Saccharomyces cerevisiae S288C: one gene and its partner. Each later gene encodes a partner of the first gene's protein in a complex. Each region holds a gene or a part of one and is shown on either strand. Other genes may lie near its edges.

What was found. The genes of interacting proteins can lie anywhere in the genome.
Region 2: CBR1 (region 1) and DPH1 share a complex: the UniProt entries of both Saccharomyces cerevisiae proteins name them as parts of the 2-(3-amino-3-carboxypropyl)histidine synthase complex.

What each region holds. Positions count from the first base shown.
Region 1 is NC_001141.2:273,572-279,018, forward strand, and holds CBR1 (cytochrome-b5 reductase), read right to left. Parts: upstream 1,356-5,447; coding exon 501-1,355; downstream 1-500. Other genes in the region: GTPase-activating protein AGE2, read right to left, coding at 1-275; protein kinase PKP1, read right to left, coding at 1,537-2,721; GVP36 (Gvp36p), read left to right, coding at 2,954-3,934; APQ12 (Apq12p), read left to right, coding at 4,152-4,568; TED1 (Ted1p), read left to right, coding at 4,855-5,447. UniProt on the Saccharomyces cerevisiae protein: NADH-dependent reductase for KTI11/DPH3 and cytochrome b5. Required for the first step of diphthamide biosynthesis, a post-translational modification of histidine which occurs in elongation factor 2.
Region 2 is NC_001141.2:170,122-174,588, reverse strand, and holds DPH1 (2-(3-amino-3-carboxypropyl)histidine synthase), read right to left. Parts: upstream 2,839-4,467; coding exon 1,561-2,838; downstream 1-1,560. Other genes in the region: YIL102C (uncharacterized protein), read left to right, coding at 1-7; YIL102C-A (uncharacterized protein), read left to right, coding at 997-1,224; Hsp90 cochaperone SHQ1, read left to right, coding at 3,084-4,467. UniProt on the Saccharomyces cerevisiae protein: Catalyzes the first step of diphthamide biosynthesis, a post-translational modification of histidine which occurs in elongation factor 2.

The DNA of each region.
Region 1 (5,447 bases):
GCTTCGTAGTATGAGTTAGCTCTTAAATTGTTTTTGAACTGTATCAGTTTCACCAAATGTTCTTCCTTCCATGTATCCAGATCAACAGATTTCACTTTCGAAATGTGCGTTCCCAATGATCTATGTATACCAGCACATTTAATGCAAATGAAAACACCAAGTGACCAGGAAGCCCAGCGTGGATGTAGTTGCGCCTTACAGTCGGCACAATGACTGTTTCCTGGATCGCGTAAAAGAGCACTTAATGCCTTCTTGACTGGGACTGACGTCGACATCGCTTGTAAATTGCCCCACGTTCTATGCTCCTTTGTACAGTTGAAGCAAGTATTACCTTTACTTTTGTTACTATTAGTACCGATCTTATACGTATTATCGAGTCGAAAATCGTCCAGCACGAAATATGGAAACGGTGCGTTTAGGTGACTAAACTAAATAGCGTATATATTATATATGTTCCAATCTATATATATATATATGGCACTCTGTTACAGTTCCTTATCTTAAAACACAAACACCTGGTCTTCCATCTTGGAAAGCGGTTTGGAACGTCTGAACCCCAAGTCCACGGTACTTCTTCTAACTGAGGCAACCATGGCTGGAGGACCACAGATCAAAATTTGAACGTTGTCCATTGTAGCAGCGGGCAAGTGTTCCTTGATGACATCCTTGGTAATGTATCCTACACCACCAGTCCAGTCTTCACGGTCAGGAGAGTCTAAGTAGTAAACTATCTTAAATTGGGAAGGCTTCATGGCCACCAACGCTTCCAGTTCCTTCTTCAACAGAATATCCTCCTCATGGACGTTCCCAAAGACTAGAGAGACCTTGGTAGTGTCGTGAGGGTCCATGGCAATAGCTTTCATGATCTGATACATGGGCGCAATACCAGTACCACCAGCAATCATCCCTAGATGGGAACGGCAGTTTCTCTCATAATGATAGTTCCCACGAGGGCCCTTGATCTGGATCGAGTCACCTATCTTCAACTCTCCAATCATCTTAGAAACGTTACCTGTGGGGTAAGACTTCACTAGTAATTCAAAGTTTCCCTTTGTATCTCCATCCAACGATGTGGGCGTATACGATCTGGTAATATCCTTACCATTGATATTGGCCTTAATTACGATATGCTGACCAATTGGTAAACCGAGTACGTCGTCAGCATGAGGTAGCCCGAACTTGTACATCGAAGTATTATGCGTTAAGATGGTTTTTTCAACCAGCGGAAATGATTGGAAGTCATTCCTTTTGGGATCCAGCACAGGCTTGGTCTTCGGTCCGATAATGAACTTGAAGAGCAAAGGCACGACCACGATCACGATGACCACCACAAGCTTTTGAGCATCAATAGCCATCTTCGATTGCTTAATTGATTGAGTCTCTTGTTGAAGAGCCAGTTGAATGCATACTTTCAACACTTTTTTTTCTCGTTCATTTTTTCGCCTTATATAATAAGAATATTTATACATATGTAGATAATTTAAAGAAGTAGAAAGAGCCCTTAATGGTACCGCTTTACGAGGAAATTTAGCACTGTTACTTTTTGGAGAGTAGTGCAGTCTTAGAAGGGCCTTTGAGCTTGATGTACACGTCCGTGCCCCAGCCAAGTAAACTTTGAACGTCAATCTTGCCCCCAAACAGTTCTAGGTACGTCTTGCACATTGGTAGACCAAAGCCCATGCCGGAGACGTTGTTGATTTGCTCGCCGGGCAGATCTGTAGACTCAGAGTCAGCTGATTGTTGGGTATGTGTAGAGTAAGAGTAGTTGAACATGAGGGCCTCTACCTCGGGCGTGATCCCACCACCATGGTCCCGTATCCGTAAGTACAGCTCGTCATCGTCTGGCTTTAAAAGATTGATCTCTATGGGCATATGTTCCTTTCCAAGAGCTATCTGAGCTTCAAAAGCGTTCTTGAATACCTCTGTCATAATATACTCCAGAATGGGCGGAATGCACGTGAATGTGATGTCTTGTGATGGCGGGTGAATTAGGACCGGGGTCCGCTGAGTGTTGAACTTCACAAAGCATATATCATTGACATAATCAGAAACGTGCTTGATCAATTGTGCTATGGGGAGGTCCCGGTGCAAGATTCCAATCATCCTTTTGTTCGTGTCACCTTTGTTCTGTGCCATCAACGACAAATAGTGCGTCACAAGCAGCTTCATCGTGATTCTCTCCTTCAGGTGGAAGTTCAAGAACTGCGAAATTTGAAACTTTGGGTAACACGATTGGATTTCCTGAAGACCTTTTGCCAATACCACAATGGCGTCCTCGTGGTCGTCCAGCAGTTCTGTGAACTTGGCCTGTATCTTGGGAGGATTGTGCAACTCGTACGGGTATGCGATTGATAGCAACGTTTGCAAGCTTTTCAAATACAAAGAGTTGGTTCTCTCAATATGAGGGTTGATTACCGCATTATACGGTAGCCTCTGAATGGCATTAAGCCGTTTACACGTCAATGAAAGCAACAGGTTGATTGTCTTGATCGTCAGCATGTACTCCTCCTTCTTGGTCAGCGGCGGCCTGTATTGCAGGAAATACTCGTAGTTTAGGGGCGCAATTGGTTTACTAGCGTAGTCCTGTATCAGCAGCTCAATGTTCGACCTAATCTTGTAATGCTGGTCGAACGACAGTTGCGACAGCAGCTCGTGTGAGGGTCGCTGGCGATGTGCCCAGCGCATTCCCCCACATTTCCATGAACGCATAATCTTCCACATACTACCGTGAAGGCGTCTTGATACCACGTCTTCCAGTTATGGTCTTGACTCACCAATGTTCTCAGTTTAATGTTGTTTGCTTCATACTGGCAGACATTTTCCCTTATTACCGTGAGAAGCGAGCGGTGGATTAATCGGGATGTCAAAAACAAGAAAATTGCAACCTTCTTCACCTATAACCTATATGATTTGTAGGCAGAGGAGTGGAATAAGCAACAAATCATAGTCATCAATGTCGTTTAATGCCTTCGCCAGCTCTTTGAGCAAGAAATTACAGGAAATATCCACAAGTGTTTCCGAAAAAACCCAGGAATTGCCCAGTTTGGCGCAATCCACCCAAAGAATGGTCCAGGAACGTTTGGGCCAGGTGACGGACATCTCCCAATTGCCAAGAGAGTACACAGAGCTGGAAGATAAGGTTGACACCATCAAACTGATTTACAACCACTTCTTGGGTGTAACTGCTATCTACGAAAACGGATCGTACGATTACCCTAAATACATCAACGAATCCGTCAACGAGTTTTCAAGAAGCGTGGCTTCCAAGTTGACAGAGTTGACTCATGCTACATCTGCGTCTGAGGCACAAAACATCTTAGTTGCTCCAGGCCCCATCAAAGAACCCAAGACGTTGAACTACGCCCTCAGTAAAGTGGCTTTGAACTCCAGTGAATGTTTGAACAAGATGTTCCCCACCGAGGAACAACCCTTGGCTTCGGCACTCTTGCAATTCAGTGATGTGCAGGCTAAGATTGCTCAAGCTAGAATTCAACAAGATACCTTGATTCAAACCAAATTCAATAAAAATTTGAGGGAAAGGCTCTCTTTTGAGATCGGTAAGGCCGATAAGTGCCGCAAGGATGTCCATTCCATGAGATTAAGATATGACGTGGCAAGAACTAACTTGGCAAACAACAAGAAGCCAGAAAAGGAAGCTTCCTTGAGAGTCCAAATGGAGACTTTGGAAGACCAGTTTGCTCAAGTCACTGAAGACGCTACTGTGTGCTTGCAGGAGGTTATTTCTCACGCTAACTTCAGTGAAGATTTGAAGGAATTGGCCAAGGCTCAAGCTGAGTATTTTGAAACCTCGGCTGGCCTAATGAAAGAGTTCCTATCCAACTCATTTGCGGAAGAGCCGGAAGCAAAGCCTGAGGTTGCAGAAGAAGAAAAGCCACAGACAGCTATCTCTATGAATGACGAAGACGACGCTTAATAGCCGCCCTGTTCTTGTCTTTCTCTCTCCTTCTCTATATATATATATTTACTTAATACAATATCATATTCTCTAGTGTCGTACGAATATTATCATTTATTTGCTGGCTTTTGTAGTGAGTATATTTTTTGTAGAGAAAATATAATTACTGGAAGAGAAAAAGCTACTGAAAAAAATTTCGTAACAGTCACCAAAGGGCAAAGTGAGCAACCCAAAAATGGACGCTACTCAACCGCAATACGAACTATCCGTAGTAACACAATGCCTAAAGTCTGCCATTGACGTCATCCAATGGTTGATTCCTACTATTACTAAGTTCAGCCAATCACACCCGTTAGTTTTCCAACTATTGTTTATTTTCTTCACATTTTATGTCTTTTACAAGTTGTTGATGAACTTCATTACTCTGGTCAAAAGATTCCTGTATTTGACGTTGGTAGTAACATGTATCGGTATTTATATGCGTGGTTCGCAGCAGTTTTTGACTGTGGACCTGTTGAATTTCTACAATTTCGTCATGTCAAATAGATACTACGCATTTAAAATTTATACTCTGTTTATTAATGCCCTGGAAAGAGAAATCAACACTGTTTATCATTTGGCGCAGATGAAAATGGAACAGTTGCTTAAATAGAGCGAAACGCCTCTGCTTACTCGGAACATCTTAAAGTAATTACATATCTTAATTTCTAAATATTCATATAGATAAAGAACGTTTTTTTTGCTAGATTCCTCCCCTAGTCACTATCAAATATTGAGCTATTTTTGGTGACTTGTGTTTTCCAAATTATTCATTACAATTGTGACTTGATTTCTGAAGTTTTAAGAAAAATTGCAAACTAAGTTATTACAAGCGATTTATCCGGTCGCGATTGAAGAACTGAAAACAACAGCAGCAGCATTGTACCAAGAATCCCAAGATGCTCAGGTGTGCGGTCAAGAAGTTTGCATATTTTGCCACCTTCCTCACTATCGTCGCTAATATTTACATCTATACTTATCCATCTTTCCATCCAGAACAGTGTTCATGGAACTGCTCTAACAAGAACGCACCACTACAGAAAGATTTGACTTTTGTGGACAAAGTGAAGAATTACTTCAGTGATGTTCGAGAGCAATGGCATGGTAGCCATGCCTCTGCAGGTAACGATGAGGATATTCATATTTTGGCCTTCGGTGATCCTCAGATTAAAGGCATCTGGCCAAAGACGCCATATGTGTCCCGATTAGATACATACGGTAATGACTACTATCTTGGTCACATCTATGATATGATGCAGCAGAGACTGAAGCCTCAGGTGGTGACTGTTATGGGTGATCTTTTCTCCAGTCAATGGATCGGTGATTCCGAATTCCATAATAGAACGAAAAGGTATATTAGCAGAATTTTCAAAAGAGACCCAACTTCTATTGAAAATATCAAACAACAGAACCTCGATGAGAAAGGTCAATATAAGGCGAATTGGCCTGAATGGGGAGACCGTTTTAATGAGATTTTAGACAATGTCAAGGA
Region 2 (4,467 bases), 100 kb from region 1:
GCAGTAGGTTCATAGCATTCGCAAATAATGGCATAGCCTCACATTTGCTGATGAAAATGGTACTATTCTGCCACAGTCCTGCTCTTTCTTTACAGAAAATGAAGAACATTAGAATGTTGTGATAAAAATTTAGGGTTACTTATTTCATGAAGGCAGTAATAATACGTATGAAAACATTAGTCAATAGACGATTGATTATTATTCCAACAATAGTATATCTGAACAGCCGTACGCAAAAAAAGCAAATTTAATTGCTGACCATTATTCAGAGCAGCTGTTTTGCCAACGTTTGCTCAAGCTATTGTCCAAATCAAATAGAGAGATACGAGTAAGCTGTTCATCAATGCTATGACTTTTAAACACATTTGATTCTTACTGCGAAAATTCCACTAGACAATTAGGGCTAATATGTGACATGCATATGTGACATGCATGTGGTGCAATTGCTGTTAAACATGGGCCTGTAAGCGGGCCAGCACATCTTCAACGGCAACCTGCCTCGACGTTTGGATGGAATATACTGAACTCAATGTGATGACCTGAAGCCACAGTCAACTCCTAATTTTCGAAGTCATTGTAGCGAAAGTATTTCTTAGACGGGATACTGTTGTTTATGTTCATAAGGGTGCCTCGATAAAAACAGATTCAGCCATATCCAACCTATATGGAGTGATGAAGGAGTAAAAATCAAGTATGAAAGCTAAACCACGCAGCAGAATATCGTAGAACCCAGCAACTAACAGAAATAACTACATTTTCATAAAATCTGACCCAGATTATGGAATGAGGCTACAACTTTATTCAGTGTCTAAAAGAATAGTTTCGCACGGAGAGCTTTTCCGCCTTACATTCATTTCCGCTAGCATTCCCGTGTAAAGGAATATATTTGAAAGAGATACAAAGAAACTGTTGATGACTGCGTGTACTCTAAATGCAATACTAGCTCAAAAATGTGAATAGTCACCGGTTGGGCATAGTAAACGTCTGTTTAGTTTCATGAACCGTTTTGTAATTATTTGCCTTCTTTTTACTTATTATGTCATATGGTCGCTCCTGCCTATCTTCGAGATCGAGAACTCCAATCCAGTTGTGAGTTTACTCTTCCCCATTTCTAGCAATGTTGCAATTTTCCTGCCCATCTTCTTACTGTTGATCGGGTTTACTTTAACTGGTTCTGTTTTAGGTGTATTGCTTATACGCAGCGATAAAAAGAAAAAAGTTTAATCTAAGCCTTAAGAGGCTCGAGTCACTTCTTTCCTCGATGAGAAATCCCGGATTTCTCATCACGGTTTCCATACAAAAGTCCATGGAAATATGCTTGGCAAACTCAGTGAAAAATTTGACAATATCATTTGGGTTTGCCTGAGAAACCAGAATAAAAATAGGCTTGACCAGCAGTGATATCAAGTTAGAAGGCATTGTTTTGAATTTTAGACAATTTAGTTTCGCCTGCAAGCCGTCAAAAACGTTTAAACAATAGAAAAGATGCTCCGAAGAATATGATACTAACTATTTATACATATGTAACAGGAAGACAAGTGACAACAAAAACTATTTAAACTATTCAATCGCATGTTTCGGAGTTTCCCCACGCCCGTATCCTTTAGCTTCGTAATAATCCATTGGATAATATTTTTCGCTGAACATGACATCTTTCTTTAGTAAGACACTAGCCTCATATGGTGTTAATAGTGGTTTATTGAAGGCATAACCCCAATCGATGGACAGTCTAGGACATGCGACCTGAACAAAAACATCAATTTGATCGAACATTGCGAGCTTTTGGGGAAAAACTTCACTTAGAATAATTTTCACCACGGTTTTACCTGCTGCGATCAGGTTTTTTTCCAAGTTTTTTACAGTGTTTAAATTACCTTGTCTACCTAATGCACCTAAGATCAGACCAAAAACTTTACCCTTCCGAGCGACTTCAATGGCCTCTGCTCTAACTTCCACGAGTTGCTTTTGATCGTATCCTTCTCTAGTGAACTTTCTGTTGTATGGGTCATACTTGAATGCAGGAATTTCCGGATTATGTATCATTGCAGACTCCAAATGAAATCTACCATCACCGATGAATACCATGGCATCGTATTGTTCTTTATCTAATCTTTCAGAAGTACACCCCAATACTTCACCCCTCGATAGAGGCTTGATTTGTGGTGGAATAATATACAGCATGTGTTCTTCATCGTTAAGCAGTTTATCTCTGACGCTGTGTACCGCAGGATTAAACTGAATGGTACCAAATGTAGCGATTCTAGATCCCTTAGGAAAATTCTTCTGCAGCGTTTTGATAATATGATCTTCTTGAATATTTATAGTAACAAAGACATATAGTACTTTAATCTTTGTAACGTCAATAGGAACTAAACACGAATGAGCGTAATGCACAATAAAATCGCAATCCAATGCCCTAGCAGTAAAATCATCAATACAGCATGCACCATAAGACACATCCCCCATTACTAGAGTTTCAACACCACAGAACTGTTCCAAAATGTCACTTATAATCAATGAGTAAATCAGCAAACCTTCAGGCATCTGTAGGGCTATTCTTTTAGCATTATATTTCCTGATATTCCACACAGTTTTGTGGATTTCAAAGTTGTAGTTAGAGGGCAATAATTTGATGGCTTCATTCAACTCTTTGTCATTCAATATATCTTCTGGCACATGATTAACACTCCTACCTAGGGCGATTCTACTCTTTTGCTTGTGGATTATTTCGTTGCCATTTTCAGCCACTGTAGTTAATTTGTCATTATTACTGTTGCCAGATTTTCTCCCAATAAATCTTCTTCTTGGTTGTTTTTTAGATTCTGTAGAGCCACTCATTACGAAAAAGAAATGCTTCAAGCTATCCGATTATCCTTAAAATTCGCAGCAGATAGTTCATGAGATTTCACTTATTTTATTTGATTGTTATTACTACTACATGTTTTTTTTTTCATCACCATCGCATCGCAAAAATCAGCTGAAAAATTTTGAATACTAAATATTCAGTGTCAAGTGCTCAGAGTAATATTAAGATTCACAAAAGAAGAATACTTGCTATAATCTACCATCACTTCTGAACTATAATGATAACACCAAGATTCTCTATAACACAGGATGAGGAATTTATATTTCTCAAAATATTCATAAGTAATATTAGGTTCAGTGCAGTGGGTTTAGAGATAATCATCCAAGAAAATATGATCATTTTTCACTTATCCCCTTACTATTTAAGATTAAGATTTCCTCACGAATTAATCGATGATGAGAGGTCTACCGCTCAATACGATTCCAAAGATGAATGCATCAATGTAAAAGTAGCCAAACTGAATAAAAATGAATATTTCGAAGATTTGGACCTACCGACAAAGTTGTTGGCTAGGCAAGGCGATCTTGCAGGTGCCGATGCATTAACAGAAAATACTGATGCGAAAAAAACCCAAAAGCCCCTTATTCAAGAGGTCGAAACTGATGGCGTGTCGAATAATATTAAAGATGATGTGAAGACTATTGGTCAAATGGGAGAGGGGTTTAATTGGGAGATAGAGCAAAAGATGGATTCCAGCACCAATAATGGAATATTGAAGACAAAATATGGGTTTGATAACTTATATGATACAGTTATATCAGTGTCGACAAGCAACGGGAACGATATCAATGAATTAGACGATCCTGAACACACTGACGCGAACGATAGAGTTATTGAAAGGTTAAGAAAAGAAAATTTGAAGTTTGATCCTGAGTACTATGTTTCCGAGTATATGACACATAAATACGGTAACGAGGAAGACTTGGAAATTAACGGCATTAAAGAACTACTGAAGTTTACACCTTCGATCGTAAAGCAATACCTGCAATGGTACAAAGACAGTACGAACCCAAATCTGGTCATGCCAATTGAGTTTACTGACGAGGAACAAAAACAGATGCAGGACAATTTACCCAAGAAGTCTTATCTCGTGGAAGATATAAAACCACTTTATGTCACTATACTCAGCGTTCTTTTCAGTTATGTGTTTGAACAGATCGAAAACGAAGGTACTCATACCACAGAGAGTGCTTGGACCATGGGAAAATTGTGCCCTCAAATATCATTCTTAGACCAACAATTAAAACAGGTGAACGAACTGCAAGACGGTATGAAAGAAATATCAAAGGTTAATAAAGACAGCTCTCTCATCAAGATTGCAATCATTACAGGTATCAGGAGAGCCCTGAGTTATCCACTACATAGAAACTATGACCTAGCAATGAAAGCGTGGACATTCGTATATTATATTCTACGAGGTGGTAAGAGACTAGTCATAAGGGCGCTTTTGGACATTCATGAAACATTTCGTTTCCATGATGTTTACTACGTCTACGACAAAGTTCTCTTGGATGATCTGACTGCGTGGTTCATTTCTCAGGGTAGTGAGAACGTCATAAGAAGTCTGGCCTTGGAAATGAGAAAAGAGCAAGAGTCACTTT